4 linked regions of the Drosophila melanogaster genome follow. The protein of the gene in region 1 interacts with the protein of each later gene in a pairwise test. Each region holds a gene or a part of one and is shown in the gene's direction. Other genes may lie near its edges. The genes, in order: CG4835, Cnot4, Inx7 and Met75Cb.

Region 1 (6,197 bases):
TTTAGGAGTTTCACAGGGGCTTACGTGAAATCTCTGGAAGCTGGAAAAACACACGAATGCCGCCAGACTCGGTGATGAATCTAGGCCCCAGGATGCATTGCGCCATATACAAACCCCCCATCAGATCGCCGAGAATCCTTTCCAGTCGCTGGCGACACACGCACCGGGTCAATTTCATGCAACACAAACAAGGGGAGGAGTTGTGGAACGGGGCAAGGAGCAGCTTTGCTGCGTGGAGGACACGTTTTCCCTCGCTTTCACCCGCTTCTCCGCCGCCATTCCTTTGAGGAGCAGCCAGGCGGACAGAAAGGCGAGCAGGTGCTCAGCTGTAACTAAACGTCCGTTTTAACATTGCCATCTGATGGTCCTGCTTCTTGTTTCCCAGATTTTGGATGGGGTGTGGCATGTGGCACATGTCAGTTGCTGGTCACGTCGCATGCAGGGGCATAATTGATAGTTCAATCTGTTGCAGATCAAACGCTTGACAGCAGCCAACAGATCAAGCTGAAAAATTGTCCAGCAGCAAGTTTGGCCAAAGAGGTGGGAACATTTGATTATATTTGATTTGTTGAGCTAATTCCAAAGAAAAATATGCTAAGTATAGAATAAATTTCATATATCTTTTTATAAAAGAGTAATCATGAGTACCTATAAGTATTGTTTCATTCATACTCCTGACTTTAATTTACCCAAAACCATTTATTATTTTAATCTCAAAAAATCTGTACTTAAATAATCCGCACTTTCTTTTATGCAACTTTATTTTTATATTAATGGATTTGTCCTTTCAGGCTGCACTTTATATTTTCCAACTTCGTGACTGTTTGTCAACCCAAAGGCGACTGAAGAAGGGATGGAAAAAAGGTCAGCCAGACAGCATAAAAACATCCTTCAGACAAATAGATTTGTATGCTTTTAAGTAATTTGCAGCACAAATTGAAATACCATGGCTAGCTTTCTATGCAACTGCAGCTTGCAAATCCACTTTAAACTAGAGATACAAATTTCTTCAATCTGTTTATACATTTTCAACTAATTCTACTTAATGCCGTATTTTGTGTGCCACTCATGTTTTGTCGCTTAATTTTAATGGCTTGCCGGGCATTAAACTTCTAGCTTCATTTATGTTTATGTTCGCATTTTTATTCGTGTAATTTACGCGTCGAGTGCTGATCATAAATTGTGACTCGAACTTCGCTGTCGGAAAGGTCACGTGGGCTCATTAAAGACCCAACAACACCGTGAACTGGAACAAGAACAATAAGTGTAATAACAGCAGCAATAAGAGTCACAAAAGGCGCACACAAAACACATGCGAACAGGATAAAATGATTTACCTTCGAAATGAAAGAATATAAAATGACACTCATTTCACAAGCAATACGTGTGTAAAAAAACACCAGTAGGGGAAATACTTAAAGAAAACCCCAGAGAAGCTTCCTGCCTTATATTTTGCTTAAAATTAACCTTTATAAACAAAACAATCTATGACGCCACGATAAGACTTCAATACGTAATTGGCTTATCACTAGATTAGAATATTACGGAAACTATCTTGTGTTGCTCGTGTTGAAATGGCACTTAAGAAAAATAATTCAGAAGTTAACGATAACATAAAATCACAAATCACAATCACTAGAATGAAAACGATATTCTATAAATTTCAAAGAATTTCTAATTAAATCTAATCAAAATGTCATTAATATAAGCTACCGACGTTGTATCAGGAAATAGCTTTTGCTATAGACAAGACAGTTGGCCTAGTTAACAAGTCAGTGTGGAGTTAAACTCGCAGGCGAAAAGACCTATTAAAAATATATAGTACAATTTAGAAAGGGGAGTTGTTATGCAAGGTAAATCTAAGATATTCTATGCAAGTACAATGCAATAAATTATTATGTCAATTATACATAAATATTTAAACTTAAATACTAGTAATAGTCTCTGTATGTTTTTTTTTTTGTATTATTATTGTATTCTTTCCTTTTCCAGATAATATTTTCAAGCCTTTGCCATGGCTTCTGGTGGTTATCGCCGTATTCTGGAGCTGGCAGCTAAATGTTTTGGCCCTGCCAAAGATCGAACCTCGTCACGAAACTTGCAACAATGAACAGCGATACGAAAACCAGGTGATGTGCGAGGGCAAGGACTTTGGTGCTTTGGTACCGTATCCGGATAACTGTAGTTTGTTCCTAGTTTGCGACTGTCTCTATCCCACGGTGAAGTTGTGTCCCGCAAATCTCTGGTGGGATAATAAGACCCAGCAATGTAATTATCCCCAAGCTGTAGAATGTATCTACTACTCGATTGAAACGCCAGAACCTACGGATGGAACTACTCGATTTACGCCAGAACCAACATCCAGTACTCAAAAGATAACGCCAGAACCCACAGAACCACCATCAAGTACGGCAAAGATAACGACAGAAAGTACCACCGGAACCAGTACAGAGATAACGTCCTCTACCCCCTCAAGTTACCTCCCAACATCCAGTTGGGATCCACCACCGGCACCACCGGGAATTTCAGATGACTACTGTCGCAACAAGGAGGATGGCTCGGTACATTATTATCCATATGACTGCCAGGCCTATATAAACTGCACTTACGGCTGGCCCGTGCTAAATTACTGTATTGAAGACAAGGTATTCAATAAGTACCTTGGCATTTGCGATACTCCCGATATGGCAGATTGCGAGGAGCTGCCCCTTCCTACAACCACAACAGAAATGCCGCCCACTTCAACAACTGAGGAGGATGTGGTTTGCGGTCCAACGCCGGAGGGAATTGAAGAGGATTATTGTGTGCCGAAGGGAAATGGTTTCTATGAGTATCCTTACAATTGCAGTGGGTACTTGGCCTGCAAAAATGGTTGCACAGATTTGGATTACTGCCAGCCGGATAAACTCTTTAATAATTGGCTGCACATCTGCGATACACCCGATTCGGTGCGGTGTGACCCCCTGCCATTCCCCACAACTCCGGGAACAACCAACAAACCAACGACGCCTTCAGTCACGACGACGCCTTCAATCACTACAACTCCTTCAACGCCTACAACACTGCCTTCTGATGGGTCTACAACGGAAATACATTCTAGCACCACAGAAGAGATTGTAACCACTACAGATGGACTTCCCTCTGATGTCGATCCAAATGATTGTAAAGATGAAAAGGACGGCACTATTTTTGCCTACATAGGCAATTGTTCGGAGTACTTAATATGTAAAGACAATCAAGTGCAAATGGGTCATTGTCCTCCTAATACGCTCTTCAATCCCGACTTGCTTGTATGCGATGAGCCAGATGATGTTGTGTGCCTTGGAGATCGCACCACGACACCAATTCCAACCACCATACCAACTACTACTACTGAAAAAACCACTCCTACCACGACTACCACCACAGTGGCAACAACTTTGGGACCAGATCAGCTTTGCGATGGTCAGGAGTTGGGAGCTTCGTTTTCTTATCCGGATGATTGCAGCAAGTATTATCTTTGCTTGGGCGGCGGACAATGGACTCTGGCACCCTGCATTTACGGCAGTTATTTTGATCCCAGCACAGGTCAGTGTGGACCTGATGTGGCACCCGATGCGTGCAAACCATCACAAGTCACAACCACCACAACAACAACAACGACAGAGACCACAACAACCGAAAGAAATACCACACCCAAGTCCACAGCTACAACCACCGAAAGGACAACCACAACTGTGGCCCCAAAAACTGGTATTTGCGGTGGTCGAAATGAGAACGAGAATATTGCTTATCCCAACAACTGCACCAAGTACATTGTGTGCGTTTCACCAATTCCCATAGCGTTCTTCTGTCCCGATGGTACATTCTTCAGTTCCAAGTTAGAGAAGTGCATTGATGATTGGGATGAAAGTGATTGTGAGGGTGATCAAAGCACAACGACTCTAGAACCAGGCTATACAAGACCTCCTCCGGAACCGACCATGTGTACAAATAGCAGTCGGGATACATTCCCATATCCGGACAATTGTCAATGGTTCATACGCTGTGTGGATGATTACATTTACATGATGGACGTCTGTAATTGTGGGGAGTACTACGATCCAATTACTGAAAAGTGTGGAGCGGATGTTCCTTCAGATGCCTGTCGATGGGACTACACTTCAACCACATCAACTACCAGTGAGCCGACAACGACCACAGCGGTTACGAGACCACCACCGCAGAAAGGACCTTGTGACGACGTCGAGGATGGGGCCCTTGTCGCTTATCCCAACGATTGTTCGAAGTATATTCAGTGCGATAGACCCATTGCGGTTGCCTTTGAATGCGAAAAAGGAGATGAATTTAGTGTGGAGCTTGGAAAATGTGTTGATGCTTCACTCGCCAATTGTTCGATTACAACCACTGCTAAGCCATCGGAGTCGACGACTACACCAAGAGACGGGGAAGGCTCAACAACGCCTTCCGAACCATCAACGGGATCTTCTACAGAATCGTCTACAGAATCAACAACAGAACCATCTACAGAATCAACAACAGAATCAACAACAGAATCAACAACGGAATCAACAACAGAATCATCTACAGGACAATCAACAGAAACTACAGAATCATCTACAGTATTATCTACTGATACTTCTGAATCACCTTCAACAATTTCAACACCACCATCATCTACTACAATGGAACCAGGAACAACTAACCCGGAAGCTTCTACAACTGAAAAGCCGGCAGATGGAATTTGTGAAGGCAAGACAGACGACTCCTTGGTACCCTACCCGAGAAACTGTAGCAAGTATATAAAGTGCCAATATCCAATACCAGTTGGTTACGATTGTCCGGATGGTTTGGAGTTTAGTCCCACGGAATTGACCTGCATGGATCCCGAACTAGCTGGTTGTAGCACTAAGTTAACCACACCAGGGCTTACAACTTTAAGTACAGAAGCTTCGTCTACACCGGTAACAACAGTTTCAACAACACCCGAGGCTACCACTACAGAAATGTCAACTACTCCAAAGACTACTACTACCGAGTCAACCACAATCTCAACAACAACCACAGATTCAACCACTCCCCAAACAACTACAACAGAATCGACAACTTCCAAAACAACTACCACAGAATCAACGATAATTTCAACAACTCCAACGACAACCGAGCCAACAACTCCAAAGACCACTACTACCGAGTCAACCACAATCCCAACAACAACCACAGAATCAACTACAGCTACAACCACTCCCCAAACAACTACCACGGAATCAACGACAATTTCAACAACTCCAAAGACTACTACTACAGAGTCAACGACAGTTTCAACAACCCCAACGACAACCGAGTCAACGACAATTTCAACAACCCCAACGACAACCGAGCCAACAACCGTTTCAACAACTCCAAAGACAACAACCACCGAATCGACAACAGTAACAACAACAACTGAATCGACAACCACAGTTTCTACACCAACAACTCTAGATCCGTACACCCCCAATATATGCTGTGGCCAAGCTCTTGGAACTCTGCTTCCGTATCCCAATGATTGCGGTCGCTATGTCGTCTGTGACTATCCCATTCCATATGCCGTGGATTGCGATGAGGGAACGATTTTCGATGATAATCTTCTTCAATGCACCTCTGTTCCCAATGAAAGGTGTCTTTTTATTGAATTTTAAAAAAATATATTAATAAAGCATAAATCACAGCAATAATCTTTTCCATTTCTGTTCTTTTTGCTACCCCAAAAAATCAATTGGGTAAATGCACAAATGCTCAATAGCTGGGAATCGCTTAACATATTCCTCACACATTACACTTCTAGGGCTTTCTAAGTCCTTTTTTAAGTGTTTCACTTTTTAGACATATACTTTGCTCCAGTTTTAGTATCAATTACATGCAAACCCTTTTCCCGTAATATGTCGCAAAAAAACGGAACCAAGAAAAAAAAAGTAATTTACCACTTAACACAGTCAATTCCCCGGACAGGTAACAAGCCGATTGGAATTGCAGAACCTCCTGTCGAAAGGATTGCAAACGAAGACCCTCAAGGGGACGCAAACGCGCGACAGTATTTTTAGCAACAGGCTAAAAGCAGTTTCCCCTTGACAATGCCACGTCTGATATCCTGCTCAGTTACAAGTTTCAGCCATTTATCGTAGCCTGATACTGCCGTTCTTGGCCCAAAGCTGAAACCCTCGGAAGCTCGTCTAATC
Region 2 (7,852 bases), on another chromosome or scaffold:
GGCAATCATGTACAGCAGGGAGTAGGCGATTTGGCCAGCGGCTCCGGTCACCACAACACGAATTGGTTCAGCCTGAAAATATATTCACTCGATTAGGAACATTCCTTTAAGTGTATTTCATCTTCCTTTTTCCATTTCTTTATGCATTTTCCGTATTTTATTTCAAGAATGTTCTTAGCTATGTTTAGATGCAGCTAAACTAATTATACTGTAATAAGGGGCGAATTTTTCATCCAGCCTTTGGCTTTGGATCTATATTTTATTTTTAGACGCTTAGCGGCGAGGAAATATATGCGAAAACTGCTAACTACACAAAATACTTCGTATATATCCAGCTCGCCATTTCCGAATTAAAACCCATTTAAGTGCAATTTCAGCAAAATTAATGCAAATATGATAGCTGAAAATAAACAAATGCGTGACCAGGTTTTTTGTTACTGTTTTGAAGTGTGTCTTTATCAGCTTGCATTTGTTGTTTACGATAGATAACGAATTTACTTTATACTTTATACTTTAGCTAGAACTCTTAAATTTCCTCTCCATTTATCTCTGAGCTGGCATTTTCAATAGTTATAGATTTAATAAAACATTTTATAAGTGATGTGCTTTGATTTTTGCTTGCTAGTGCATTTTCCGCCCATCCTCGTTACGCAATCCCAGTTAATCCTTTCCTAAGGGCACTAAAAGTAGGCCACTTGTGGCAATTGACCCCTATTTATGTTTTGCCCTAAAGAAAAGTCACAGGGCATAGTTTCCAGTAAAATGTAGCTAAAGACGGGAATTACTAAACATAACATATATTATATTTTTATATTATATATTTGTCATTGAAGAAGTTTTTAACTTCCAAACAATTGGAAGCGTAACCCCTGGGAGCATTTAGCATTTTTGATAAGATATGACAGATTTGAACTGCATGGACTTTGCTTCACCGCCTCCAATCATCCGGTTTATATAAGCTCTATCTGCTCCGGCAAGAGCTATTAAAACATGAAAACAACATTTTTATCGCCGTCAATTGGCAATTAGCTCGCATTTGCAATAAATTCATGCTTTTGGGGGCCTCTGAAAATGCAACATTTGTGCATACGTTCGAATTGACGTCACTAAGGTTTTTGGTTTTTAAGATTAGCATGAAGAGAGGTCAAATGAATGTTAAATTTCCAGAAAAATTATTGCGACCAATCACACATACCGTCATAACTACACATTATTGTGTACGGCACTTTGAATGCATATGTATGCATATTCTTCACATTTGATAATCAAATATGCAGATTATTAATAATAATTTGATGATATATACTATACGAGCGTAGCGAGAAATCGCCGGCAAGCTTACCATTTTAGAATTTCACAGGTGCAACGCTCCACGGACGAACTTCAAGTAAAAACGTAAATAGGGATCGCCAATTGGGAACCTGTTACTTTTCACAATTATTTTCCAGTCACTACTTTTTGAATAAAAGTAGCCGTGACTCCAACGCAATATGTTTTTGGCAAAATAATCGATTATGTTGCTCCTTACAAATTTACTAAATTTTTAAATAATACAAAGAGTTAAGGAGTTCTCTTATTGTTATTAATATTTACAGTTGCCAAAAAAAAGTAAATACATATATAAATAAATAAAACGATGATAAATGAAAAATTAATAGAAATATAGTTATTAAATTAGTTAATGTAAACAACAAAATTTTGCAGAAAAAGCATCAAATATCATATTTCTTTGCATTATTCTTGGTCACTTTGTTTACACATACAAAATTAGTACCTAGCTATATTTTCATATCTGAAATACGCAAATGCAGTCGTGTGAAGTGATTTTTTCGCTTGCTATTATCGATAGTTTGAGCTGTGGAAAAAAATCGAATGTTTCTTGTGGAAAAAATTGGAGTCTTTAATTTGGCGAATCCATTCGTTTACTTTGCGTTTATTTTTAGCCTTAGTACTTTCGTTTGATACGTTTGCTACCAAGTATTTATAAAAATTAAAAAGCGTTCAAAAACACAATTAACCATTGCAACGTCGTTTCATCAGCTATTCAGAGTGAATAAAGAAAACCTACATCACACCTACAATCATACGTGTTACGTGTACATACATATGTGTATGTATATATACTCTTGCTTATGTACATTAAACATTTGCCGTTTTCCTTTCCAACCAGCCTTTTGTTATTGTCTAAAAATCGATTTTCGTTACCCTTTTATACGAGTTCGTGATTTGCCATAATTAATAAACAATAAATCACAGCTGTGGTTTGGTAAATAAGTGCAGCGTGAACAATGTACGCTTATGTACATAAACACTCGCATATGTGTGCGTATATAGTGGATTAACAAATTGCTGATGTACACATATTAAGTGCTTTTACAATGCATACGCAAATATCGATGCAAATTCTAGTAATTTTGCTTAATACCCACACGTATTTGCATGTCGCCATACTCACACACATGTTCGGTTATTAAACTCTTGAAAATTGTACTTTCTTTTTGATTGTGTTTTAAAGAGAGCTTCCGTTTTAAATTTGAGAACTTATTGATGTACGCAGGTAGTGCGTATATTTCCGAGCTGGTTTGATTTTTGTTATGAAAAGGTATCCATATTTAAAAATACTTTTTGTGTTTGTTTGTCTGCGTTGTAGGCATATGCGTGTGTGTGTATATACACAATAAAATTACCTGACGGCAAACACCTTCTTCGGGTCGCATTAAATTGTCTTTTTTCAAAGGTTGCATAAAGTCAACAATACCACGAATACAATGGGCAGTATGTAAACAATTTTGCACAAATCGCAACTATCAAAAAAAGTGTTAAATATGGATATTAACTAAAGTGGTCAGCTACAGGTGCCAAATGTCCACAACTTGTTTTTCGTAGTGTGCAAAATAACGGGGTGATTCATCTAATAAAGATCGCATGCCTTCCTTTTTTTTAGGTGTTTTAGGTAGACAAAATCATATATGCATAGTTTAGAAGTACAAGACAAGGGAATATTCTTCTTATTTCAATGCAGGTTCATACCAATCTGATGAAAATCCATCCTACAAAAGCTATCCTTGAGATTTAAGAATCTACACACAAAACTTCATCCTAATCAAATATATATATATATATATATTATTTATACATATAAATTTTATTTACTTTCTACAGCTTGGTTCTCATCATTATCAACAATTTTATAAAAATTACAACTGCGAGTACTTCATCACTAATCAACAAATCACCTGAAAATGAACGGCCTGAGCAGCAATGATGATGCAGTCGAGTGCCCTTTGTGTATGGAGCCGCTTGAGGTGGACGATCTGACCTTCTTTCCGTGTACCTGCGGATATCAGGTACATACTGTCATTAAAGCACCCTTATCAGCAGCGTATTCAAGTGCTATTGCTTCCAGATTTGCCGATTCTGTTGGCATAGGATCCGCACGGATGAGAACAAGCTGTGTCCGGCATGCCGAAAGGAGTATCCCGAGAATCCAGCTGACTTCAAGCCGCTGTCGCAGGAGGAAGTATGTCGTGGTCACCTCGTATTCATTCCACTAACTTCTACTCTTCTTTAGATGATTGCCTTCAAGTCCCAGAAACGCCAAAGGGACCAACAACGAAAACAAAAGATCACCGAGAACCGCAAACACTTGGCCAACGTTCGCGTTGTCCAAAAGAACTTGGTGTTCGTTGTGGGGCTACCGCCACGACTTGCTGATGCAGACGTATGTTGATTTTGCGCCATAGATAACCGACAGCAAACCCACTCACAATTGCCATTTCAGATATTAAAGAAACACGAGTATTTCGGTAAATATGGGAAAATTCATAAAGTCGTTATAAATCCAAGTACCACGTATGCCGGGGTCCAGGTAAGAGTTGTAAGATTCAATTATTTATTACCTCTATACATTCATATGGCCCAATGGGCCAATACCCGAGTTGCTTAGTCATTTTTAGGTGGTTTCTATGAAAACTTTGATAATGGCACGTTTTCAATGAAACTGAACAGATTTACGTGTATCTACCAAAATTTATTTTCGATTAAAATGAATTTGAACCTTTTGTTGTTAGCTGCTCTGGTAAGCGAACATTGTTTATAACAAGAAGTTTAAGTTTATTTTTTAACCTTTTTTATTAATATATATATGTATTTTTTTATTTTAGGCAAAATTGTGTGCGAAATGCAAAAATTTCTTGTTAATTTATGATTAAATGGATCGGAATTTACGTTCTGTTTCCGTGCTTATGCTAAAAAAATCAACTTTTGACCAATTATGATAAGAGTCTATTTTAGAATAACCCCGATTATTGTATACAAATCAAAAAGCGTAACATTTGATAAACCTGCTTTCTATAAAACTGCGAGGGTATCAGAGTTTTCGGTCCACCGAATCGCGTTTCACACTCTGCCATCATTGCTTATTTAAATTTTTTCGATTTTAAAGGGTCCATCTGCTTCTGCGTATGTCACATATGTTAATAACTCGGATGCCTTGCGGGCCATTCAAAGCGTCAATAATATTATGATAGACGGTCGGCTTATAAAGACCAGCTTGGGGACAACCAAATACTGTAGCCACTTCATGAAGAACCAGCAGTGTCCCAAGGGCGACTGCATGTACTTACATGAATTGGGCGATCCCGAGGCCAGTTTCACAAAGGAGGTAAGTTGTGAGATAACTAAATTTGTCCGTATTTAAATGTTATGTCCGGATATTTAAAGGAAATGCATCAGGGAAAGCACCTGGAGTACGAGAAGCGCCTGCACGATACTCTAATTGCGTCATTGGGACCGAATGCAACAGGTATTGTAAATGGTAATGGAGCTTCTAAAGCAAATGGTAATTTCAGCCAAGCTACATACTAAATGACTTAATAATGTTTATACCCAATCAGTCGCGATTCCATCGTCATCGTCAGCGTCATCCTCGTCCTCTGGATCGGGTACAAATGGTTCAAGTGCATCAGGTAATGCCCAGCAAAAGGAGGCCTGGCCAAGCTTATCGGTCTCGCCCATCAATGGCAAAGAGGCGGCTGCCACTGCGACCAGTTCCAGTGGGAAAAGTAAACGGGAAAAGCTGCGCAACGAGAAGAGGCACGAGAAGAACAAGGCGAAGAATAAGAACGGCAGCAATACAAACGCCAATGCCTCGAACAAGGAGAACTATGTTCCCGAAACGAGAAGCAGCACAAGTACTGAGACATTCGCAGAGGCTACGGCGGATGCACCGGCTTCCACCAAGGCAGAACCGCCGCAAGCCTCTAGCAATAGAACGAGGGCGGATCGTGGAAAAGATCGGACCACGGCTAGTGCAAAGGAGCAGAAGAAGAGCAAGGAAGCTGCTCCAGCACCTGCAGCAAGTAAACCGGCGGAGCGGGTTGAAACAAGCGAGAGTACAATAAGACAAAAGAAGGCGGAAGTAACAGAAAGCTGTGAAGATAACTTACCACAAAAGAGATTAGCGGGAACAAACGTTCAAAGATCTGTGAGCTCTTGTAGCGAAAATAGCGAAGGACACGTCTCTGAGAGTAGCTTAAGTGAGAAGAGTTTAACTGGTGATTATGTGGAGGAAAAGTGCAATAGTGTGAATTCGGAAAGCCAGCAAGAAAGTGTAAAGTTTCAGGAGGAGCTCGAAAAGAGCAACGAGGCAATTGTCGAGGCCGAAACGATTCTGCCAACAGCTGAGTCCTCTGAGGACATCAGTCCCGCTGCAGTTGCGCCAGGCAATGGAGAAGTCGAAGGATGCTTACCCGTTGTTGATCCAGTCGAACCACCGAGTCTGGCGGATAATGGAAGCAGAGTAACAGGTATTGTACCTTATCCATTTAGTCCACCACACTTTGCTAACACTTTCCGTTGCAGATGCGCTATCTAAGCTGAACATTTTCGATGACACGCCTAGCTTTTTCACATCGCCATCATTCCAGCAAGCACCCATATTAAAGAATAAGCTAGATTTGGAAATGCGACAGTCTCATTTACCTGACTTGGTCAACGGTAAGTTACGAATCTTTGAAAATAAAGAGAATTCTTTAATTTATTTTTTCTCATTTTTCGGTACTGCTAAAAAATATCAACGGGCTTAAACAGACATTGATGGAATCCAAAAGGCATCCAATACAAACGGTAATGGTTTCATTATTAAAGCATGTATTTGAATTAACTCATATTTATTCTTAATTTATCCATCCTTTGCATAAACAGAGTGGGAGGAAGCCTTCAAAAATGTGATGATGGGCAACACGCAGCACATGGAGGAGCAACTGTTGCAGCAGCAACATTTGCAGCAGCATCAGAATTTGCGCCACCAGCTGGTGTTGCAACAGGAGGAGTTCCTTCGCATGCAAGAATTACAGAAACGCAACAACTTTGCGACGCAAATCAACGGTCCTGCGAATGGTAGGTGAATTCCTACTGTGGTGTACTGCAACTTTAATAATTGTGTAATTAATTCCTTTTAGATTTCCTTAGAGCTTATGAGCTCAGAGCTCAAGCCAATGCAATCATTCAGCAACAATTATTACAACAGCACGCAGGCGAAAATCTATTTGGCGGCAACATGTCGAAGTTCTTCGATTTCCATAAAAGTCAGCCGCAGTCACACCATCAGTATCTAAATGGACATCCGCCTCAAATCAATGGGAACGGTGCTGTGCCGGAGCCGCAAAGAGTGGCGGCCTCTTTGGAAAGCAATCGACTGAATTCGCCTTTTGTCGAAAATGGTGGGACATACTTTACAATGAAATTGCTGGCCAGCCCGCAATAATAATATTTACGTTGTTATCCTAGGACTTATTAACTCGCAGCAGCAGCAGCAGCAGCAGCAACAGCAACAAAAGCAGAGAATGATGGGAATGTATGAATTTATGGTAATGATTTCAAATGGATTTAAAAAGCAACATGCTAATATCATATTTGTTTCGATTTCCAGCCTCCAAACACGCAATCTCAGCAGAATCGGTTTACACAGAACTCGATAGTCGACGATGACTTAGGTAAGACCTTGTTTATATCTCACTTCAAAGCCTTTTCACTGATTCTGCTTGTTAAAAGGATTCGACCCGTTCGTTGAGACCCAAAAGGGACTTGCTGAACTTATGGAAAATGAGGTGGTCCAAAAACAGAGTATTAATAATGAGAACCCCTTGCCGAAGTTGCCGCCACAGCCTCAAGTTCCACCCCATCCGCAATTGGTGGACAACCTGCAGCGAGCTCGCATGCCGCCGCCAGGCTTCAATCACGTCAACACATTGGGCTTGGGCGGTGCATCCAGACTGCAGCTCACCAGCAAAATAATACCCTTCATGAACATGCCCGTCAATGGGGTGGGCAACAGCGGTGCCCAGGGACAGCACCAAATGCCAATGGGTGTCAACTGGAATGCGCCGATGGGCATGCACCAGAACCCGGGACAGCCCGTGGGTGATTCGCAATTGCAGCATCCAATGGCTCACAACAAGGGTAAGTAATTGAAATGATTACATTTTTTGGTACCGAGAAAACTGTTTAATCAAATTATTTGGATTCGCAACAGTTTACAACAACAGTGATTGGACTTCAATGGATCCGGCTATACTTTCGTTTAGACAGTATTCTTCTTTTCCACAAAACCAAATTCCCCCACATCCTCAGCAGCAACAGGATTTATTTTTGCAGCATTTGGCTCAACAGCAAAATTCCCAGAGTGGTGGTAAGTGGGGCAACCAAGAGTTTACATATCAACAGTCGATTAAAATGCATCGGATTGTGTACTTGCAGGTTTCAACAACCAGGCACAGCAAATGCTTCCTATGGGGATGCCCAATAGTTTGCTGAACGGACAACAAACGCAGCCGCCACAGGTCAATGCCAA
Region 3 (4,299 bases), on another chromosome or scaffold:
ATTTCATTGCAAAATGGCCAAAGACAAAAGAACGTGCATGGCCTATCAGTTTATATCAAAATCTGGGCTATGCCAATAAAGCAATGCGATTGTTATTTGAACATGAATCAATGAACTTTCGTCAACTGGGAGGCGTAAGCAAAAGCAAAAGTAGTAGCCGTAATCATAGCAATTTCCTGGGAAACCCAAGTAGAGGTAAATTCGAGCAGTCAACCGGCTAAAAATGTTGCAATTACTAATATAGTTAACTGGTCTCTAGTTACGCACGACTTATAAATGTTATATGTACGTATGTAAAGGGGCCATTTTTGACTATCTTATCCGGCAAAGTTTTGGAGCGGCCACTTGAGCGCTTAAGTAATAAGCACCAAAATACAATGCCTAGGCGAGCTATTTAGATAAGCAACAGATATATGTAGATACTTATGAGCTGATAGTGCGAATCTCTGTTGGAATTCCGTTACATTCTAGAAAGTAAGTAAGCCAGTCACTCGTTGTCTTTTCTGGGGATTGACTGGAAGATAAGATTGTCGGGGCCAAAGAATGAAATACAATAGTGCGCAGGGTGAATATCCACCTGATTGCCTTGCGTGGAACCTTGCAACGATATCGCCAAAAAGGCAAACAGCCGAGCAATAATCCATCTTAAGAAGAAGAGTCTCAGTAAGTATGTACATAGCCCTCTGTCTAGCACTGATCTGGGTCAATACGATAACGCCAAGCCGATATATGTCCGCTTATCCAATTACTGTCCCATCCATCAGAATAGGCAGTATTGAATCAATATGGGTGGCGATAGCGGCACGCTTTAAGACCCGGAGAGTTCCAGATTACGGCGGAATTTGCAATTCCACACTTGAATGATTTCAATGCAAGTCTCTATGGTTATTCTTAAAACCAAGTGATCATTTCTTGCATCACTAAGGGATTTTTGCTATGTTTTTGGAAGTGTAACTAATTTGCTGATATCCTGAATCTCTTGAGTCATATATGTACATATATATTTTCCCGCACTGATTCATATTTCCTATGATTGTTTGCTTGGTTATCTTGGCCTCTTTGCTCTTGGATCTTGGATGAATTTCGATGGGTGGGAAGTTACTCACCCACCCACCAGGGCGAGATTTAGCCAACTTACCGATGAGGTAAACCCTGAGAAAATGAGTATTATTTTCATAATTTCTTTCGCTCTTTCTGTGACTTTCGTCTTATCATTTTCGGATTCTTATGAAGCCACGAGCCGAATACATGCCGAAGTACTCATGTTTGGGCGAAATTTGAAATATGACCGAAAAACTTCGGAGTTTTCTTGGGTATCAAGAGAGCCCTACACTGAAAGAATTAAATTGCTAACATTTTAGACTGAAACCTAAGTGACAAAGATTGTGCCCCTCTCTCAGCTTATACTGCGAGTCAGAAGCTGAAAAAAATTTCTTTTTTTTTTCTCATAGTCCAATAGTCTACGTAAGTCCTGCTAAGTGTAGCGCACTCCAGTAGGTTCTCATATTTCCCTTACTCTTTTCTTGGACAACTCTGAACTAAACACAATACCATTGCTGATTCGGCATTTCCGTGTATTTCTGCCCGACGAAGTTATCTTATCGGGCCCGGGCGACTCTCCTGGCCAAAAATGAGCGGTCGATAAGGCGCCAGAAAGCCCTCTCCGACGAATGTGGAATGGTGATGAAGATCGGCGAACGGGGACCGGAGACCGGAGACCGAAGGTTCCGAGACCCGGAGACCAAGTGCAGAGTCTCGAGCCTTGCAGTTACGAGGAGCTAGCCGCGGCAAGCGGAGCGCACAAATCCATCCGAACCCAGAAGCCAGCCCGTTTCCAATTGCCACCCAGCCATAGTTGTCGTAATCATCGTAAGAAAGTGAACGAAGTAGAAGTGGGATCGGATCGGATCGGATCGGGGCCAGAACCTAACCCAAAACCGAAGATAACGAAGGCGTTACAATGCTGAACACCTTCAGTTCGGTGAGGCAGTACCTCAAGTTCGATCTCACGCGTGTGGTCATCGACAATATAGTGTTCAAGCTGCACTATCGATGGACCTTCGTAATACTCCTAGTGGCCACCCTCCTGATCACGTCGCGCCAGTACATCGGGGAGCACATCCAGTGCCTATCCGACGGTGTTGTGTCTCCGGTCATCAACACCTTCTGCTTCTTCACGCCCACCTTCACAGTGGTAAGTCAGCGGGGTCACAAAGGGAAAATTATAAGAGGTCACCAGGGAATTAAAAAAAATATCTATGTACGGGGTACACAGAAGTATCTATTGAGAGCAACTGTTATCAATACTCTATTTGATTATTGGTTAAAACTTAAATAGGGTTAATCGATTTAGAGTCGTTTTATTGCTATTAGTTGGTTGATATATGTTGCCACATACCCATTCCTGAAATGATCAAATGATAGAATAGATTTTATTTATGTGCCTTGGCGGCAGTAGATCATTTATTAACATAGCTTGCACCCCAAATAGGTACGTGACCAGAACCAAACTGCCTACAGGCCGGGAAGTGAGCCACCTGGTATAGGGGCATTCGATCCCGAAAAGGACACGATCAAGCGGCATGCATACTACCAGTGGGTGCCCTTTGTCCTGTTCTTCCAGGCTCTCTGCTTCTACATTCCCCATGCCCTGTGGAAGAGTTGGGAGGGCGGCCGGATCAAGGCCCTGGTCTTTGGCCTTCGAATGGTGGGTCTAACGAGGTACCTGAAGAACGATAGTCTGCGTATCGGCAAGCTGAACATTCCCTCGATGGCGGAGGCGGAGGAGCGGGTCAAGGACATTCGTCGCACAATGATCGACCGGATGCGGCTGAATCAATCGTGGGGTGCCCACTTGGTCTTCGCGGAGGTGCTCAATCTGATTAATCTTCTGCTGCAGATCACATGGACCAACCGTTTTTTGGGCGGTCAATTCCTCACACTGGGACCACATGCCCTGAAAAATCGGTGGTCCGACGAGCTGAGCGTTTTGGATCTAGTATTCCCGAAGATTACCAAGTGCAAGTTCCACAAATTTGGTGACTCTGGCTCCATTCAAATGCACGATGCCCTTTGCGTGATGGCGCTGAACATCATGAACGAGAAGATCTACATTATTCTGTGGTTCTGGTACGCCTTCCTTTTGATTGTTACTGTTCTGGGACTGCTTTGGAGAATTTTAACCCTGTGCTTCTACAGAAAGTGAGTGGATGGATATAGGTGTGAAATATGTTTTCATAATGTGATAACCCTTCTAACCCACTTTAATTAGTGTCACATTTACCCGCTGGTCTCTCTATTGGGCCAAGCCTGGCCAACTGGACGAAAACGAATTATTGGCGGTAATTGATAAGTGTAACTTTTCCAACTGGATGTTCCTTTTCTTCCTGCGCTCCAACCTTTCGGAGTTCCTATTCAAGAAGGTTATCTATCATTTGGCTAGTGAGTTCCCCAATCCCGATCACGATAACGATGTCAATGCCTATCGAGAGGCACCGCCCACGCCCGCTAAGAACCGTTATCCGGAGCTCAGTGGTCTGGATACGATTGATTCACCACTCTTGCACCTTCGACGCAATGGCTCGCCCTCTGCCGGCGGAGCCCAAGGGCCATCGACTTCGGATATGGCAAAGTTACCTGTATAATTTATGCATTTCAATTAACGCTAGGCAATTAATTATTGGAGCTTTGTCTTGTTTACACCTGTTTTTTTTTTATATATATATATGATCATTTCATTATAAATATATTTATTATTAAGAGACTCGGCTTTCAGCTTTATCCAACAGGTTTTTTTCGGGGCTCACATAAAGCAAAATCTCTCAAAATGGCCGACAGAAAAACAGTTATTTTGTGTGAGGTATTTTGAAAAAAAAAGTGGGTAAAAAGCACAACAAAACCAAAACCGACCAGACACCTTTCGGAGGGGCGTGTGGGCGTGGCCGACAGTTTGTGTCGAGTGGCGACTGCGGTTGGGTGACCCAGTTCGAGTGATCCGTTGTGGTTTCGAAAGTGTTTGTTACTGAGCTGCAGTGTTCAGTTCAGAGCTGGGTCACAGTTTGTACCCTCCCATCTGACTGTGAAGTTTCAATAGATGTGCATGACGGTATCCCCGATTACGGACGGTTCTCCAGGTGAGTTATTGCTACTGTAAGTTTTATATATTTTCTATGGTTTTGGGAAGTTTAAGTGGTTTTCATCGAAAACATCCAGAGATAGGAGGAACTCAACTTCTGAAGTCAACGCTTCCAGCTGCATTAAGACATTTACACATGCCGCTCTGTCATAACCAAGTCCATA
Region 4 (2,567 bases), about 13 Mb from region 1:
CCTCAATCATTAAAATTGTTGCTAATTTGCTAAAGCAGATTGAGTTACAGCTTGAGGACACAGTCGGTGAAAAGAGTGTGTTGAATTTCCTTCGATGTGGAAAGTACAAGTGATTAAACAAGTAAGTGAGTTGTATGTTGTCCTTGTTGTCCTTGACTACCCTCTCCTCAATAAGGATCGTGGTCCCCATGTCCGCTTCTACAGCTCTTTCCTCGCACATGAGCTTGTTGCCGAGTCTTCGGTTGGATTTTACCTACACCTTTTCGCTAACATCGAATACCCTATTCTGCGGCGAGGCGTTTTCTCTATCCCTTTCAGCTTTCTGGATCCTATTGTGGAAATCTACGTGTGGCTCATCAGGTTGCGTTAGGACGATGTCAGCCGATCTCCTTTTGATGACCGAGTGAATCGACCTATTATTATATTGGATAGTGGCCAACATTACTATATCGACCGTATCACTTATGCCCTTGTCTATCCTTATGCACCTGGCTAGCTCCAGCAATGTGAAAACGCTCCACCTGTCCGTTGGAGGTACTGTTTAGTGGTGATGCATTTGTAATGCTTACACCAAAGTTGTTGCAAAGCATGGACACGATCGTGTGCGACTTCAGCGACGGTTCGTTGTCGCAATACATGGTCTTTAATAGTTCTCGAGGCGGTAGGTTGTACGATGGCAAATTAAGAAAACTTCTCGACGCAAGTGAGGAATAACTTGTTGTCAGCATAAAAAAAAATGTCTTTGTGCAAGACAGTATTGTGTGACAGTATTGGCGTTTCACCGAATTCTTGCTTCATTGGGTGCCTATCTTACTTGGCCCTCGCACAAGTCCTGCAGTTCTGCACGATCTCATTGGCCAGCTTGGATATTTTGGGGAAATAGTATTCCGACAATACCTGCTTTACTTTTTCTTGCTCTGCTCTGTATGCACTATTGTGTTCAGCAGTTAAGATTTCCCTTCTTTCTTCGAATCTGAGAACGTCCACAACGCGGTTCCTGCAATGCCAGAACTGTGTGGCTGGGAACCTCCGGGATATCTCATCCTGTACCTTTGCGAGCGTGCGAAAATCGCAATGGAAAGCGTTTACGCCCCTTGGGACGATTATGTCTACTGCCAACCAAAAGGCGGGTTCTTTGATCCGCTTCTGCTTGTTGGGGTGGCTTGACCCGCTGATGGGCACTTGCCTAGTATTCTTTTTCCACCATGCTCCTCACAAAGCTGGCAGCATACGCATATCTTTCATGGTACTATTCCACCTCTTGCGCCAGCGCCAGAGTTGACGGCAAGAACAGCTGAGAACAGCACATCTGTGAGACTACGCTTGAGTCCCGAAACCAACACACAATGTGCATCTTCGCGGAAGTTTTCACAGAGGCCCTTTGACTTTATTAGTCAACAATGTAAGTTTTTGCCGACTTCATCGTAATATTGAAGTAAAGACATGCTGCCTTGTCTCAGCGTATCCAACTCGCTCGATTACATGAACTGGACGTTTGTCGCTGTATGCGACTTATAATCGCGTCAAAGTTAAGTACTGTGCCGAAAGAAGCCAGAACAAACATACGATTCATGTGCGCCTGCAAACTCGGGCAAGCATTGATGGCATCCAATTTGCCATCAAGCATACGCCAAGTGAGCCATCGCAACAGAGAGGGTCATCGGAGAAATGTTAAACTAGAGCGAACAGCTTACGTAAGTGATGGGATTTAAATGCCGGAAAAACTTAAATGGCAAGCTTAACGCCGTATCACGTAGCATCCATATTAATTGCAACGTGTAGTCGGGTATAAATAGCTCACTACCTGCCACAGCCGATCATTCAGCACTACTCGACAAGATGAACGTATTCAATGGTTTCTTGCTAGTCTTCCTGGGCCTGGCCCTCAGCTCTGTGGATGCACAGATAGCAACACGCCAGGAAACCTCGGAGGACAAGGCTTGTGGTCCCCACGCCTACTACAATTACGCCCGGCACACTTGCCTGCCATTCTAGGAACCTTTCCAAAGTGTCCTATGCCTAAAGAAATAAAACGTTAAGGTACTAAATGTACCAGAAATAAATACGCGATGTTTAAGTTAAATGGGAAAAGAGGGTGCAGCATAAAAAGAGTGGACATTACATTAATGGTAATTCTATCCTTTTGGGAGATGCTTAAGAAGAAGATCATTTACAATACTTCTTACTGTTCAGAACCATCGATTTAGGTTAAGAAAATAACTAGATTTCTTATTATGAATGAATTGGTAAGCTCAATGGGCCATTATTTGAACGACCTTCAGCAGCTACCTCATCCACACCATGACTCCGAGGATGTGTTGGCAAGGACGTGGAAGAGCTTTCTTGAATGCACAACTTTATGCCCCTTCCTTTCACTGCTTCGCTAATTAATTCGCCCCTAAGAAGAACGGTTTCCCAGTCCCAGGAAGCCGCATCATAAACCAACTTGTTATGGCTTATTAATTTTGCATGCAGCCGCGACTGCAGTCAGGCCAACGTCATGTAAACATGTGCAGGATTCCACTGGCTCCTGCCTGTGAGAGGGGGTCCTGTGCTCGCAACTGAGA

Evidence for each region.
Region 2: the proteins of CG4835 (region 1) and Cnot4 interact in a two-hybrid assay, tested with the Drosophila melanogaster proteins (one large-scale study listed by BioGRID).
Region 3: the proteins of CG4835 (region 1) and Inx7 interact in a two-hybrid assay, tested with the Drosophila melanogaster proteins (one large-scale study listed by BioGRID).
Region 4: the proteins of CG4835 (region 1) and Met75Cb interact in a two-hybrid assay, tested with the Drosophila melanogaster proteins (one large-scale study listed by BioGRID).

Annotation. Positions count from the first base shown.
Region 1 is NT_037436.4:5,478,004-5,484,200, forward strand, and holds CG4835 (uncharacterized protein), read left to right. Parts: upstream 1-1,786; 5' UTR 1,787-1,846; coding exon 1,847-1,853; intron 1,854-1,992; coding exon 1,993-5,660; downstream 5,661-6,197.
Region 2 is NT_033779.5:10,394,873-10,402,724, forward strand, and holds the start of Cnot4 (CCR4-NOT transcription complex subunit 4), read left to right. Parts: upstream 1-1,843; 5' UTR 1,844-2,110; intron 2,111-2,306; exon of another isoform or gene 2,307-2,775; intron 2,776-3,128; exon of another isoform or gene 3,129-3,162; 5' UTR 3,163-3,242; coding exon 3,243-3,347; intron 3,348-3,406; coding exon 3,407-3,520; intron 3,521-3,571; coding exon 3,572-3,721; intron 3,722-3,781; coding exon 3,782-3,877; intron 3,878-4,444; coding exon 4,445-4,663; intron 4,664-4,722; coding exon 4,723-4,840; intron 4,841-4,895; coding exon 4,896-5,807; intron 5,808-5,862; coding exon 5,863-5,997; intron 5,998-6,090; coding exon 6,091-6,126; intron 6,127-6,204; coding exon 6,205-6,399; intron 6,400-6,461; coding exon 6,462-6,722; intron 6,723-6,789; coding exon 6,790-6,869; intron 6,870-6,931; coding exon 6,932-6,995; intron 6,996-7,053; coding exon 7,054-7,461; intron 7,462-7,534; coding exon 7,535-7,690; intron 7,691-7,758; coding exon 7,759-7,852. Other genes in the region: Mdh1 (malate dehydrogenase 1), read right to left, coding at 1-72, 1,343-1,345.
Region 3 is NC_004354.4:6,991,075-6,995,373, reverse strand, and holds Inx7 (innexin 7), read left to right. Parts: upstream 1-1,761; 5' UTR 1,762-1,960; coding exon 1,961-2,194; intron 2,195-2,491; coding exon 2,492-3,201; intron 3,202-3,271; coding exon 3,272-3,644; 3' UTR 3,645-3,762; downstream 3,763-4,299. UniProt on the Drosophila melanogaster protein: Structural components of the gap junctions.
Region 4 is NT_037436.4:18,468,871-18,471,437, reverse strand, and holds Met75Cb (Met75Cb), read left to right. Parts: upstream 1-1,819; 5' UTR 1,820-1,839; coding exon 1,840-1,995; 3' UTR 1,996-2,060; downstream 2,061-2,567.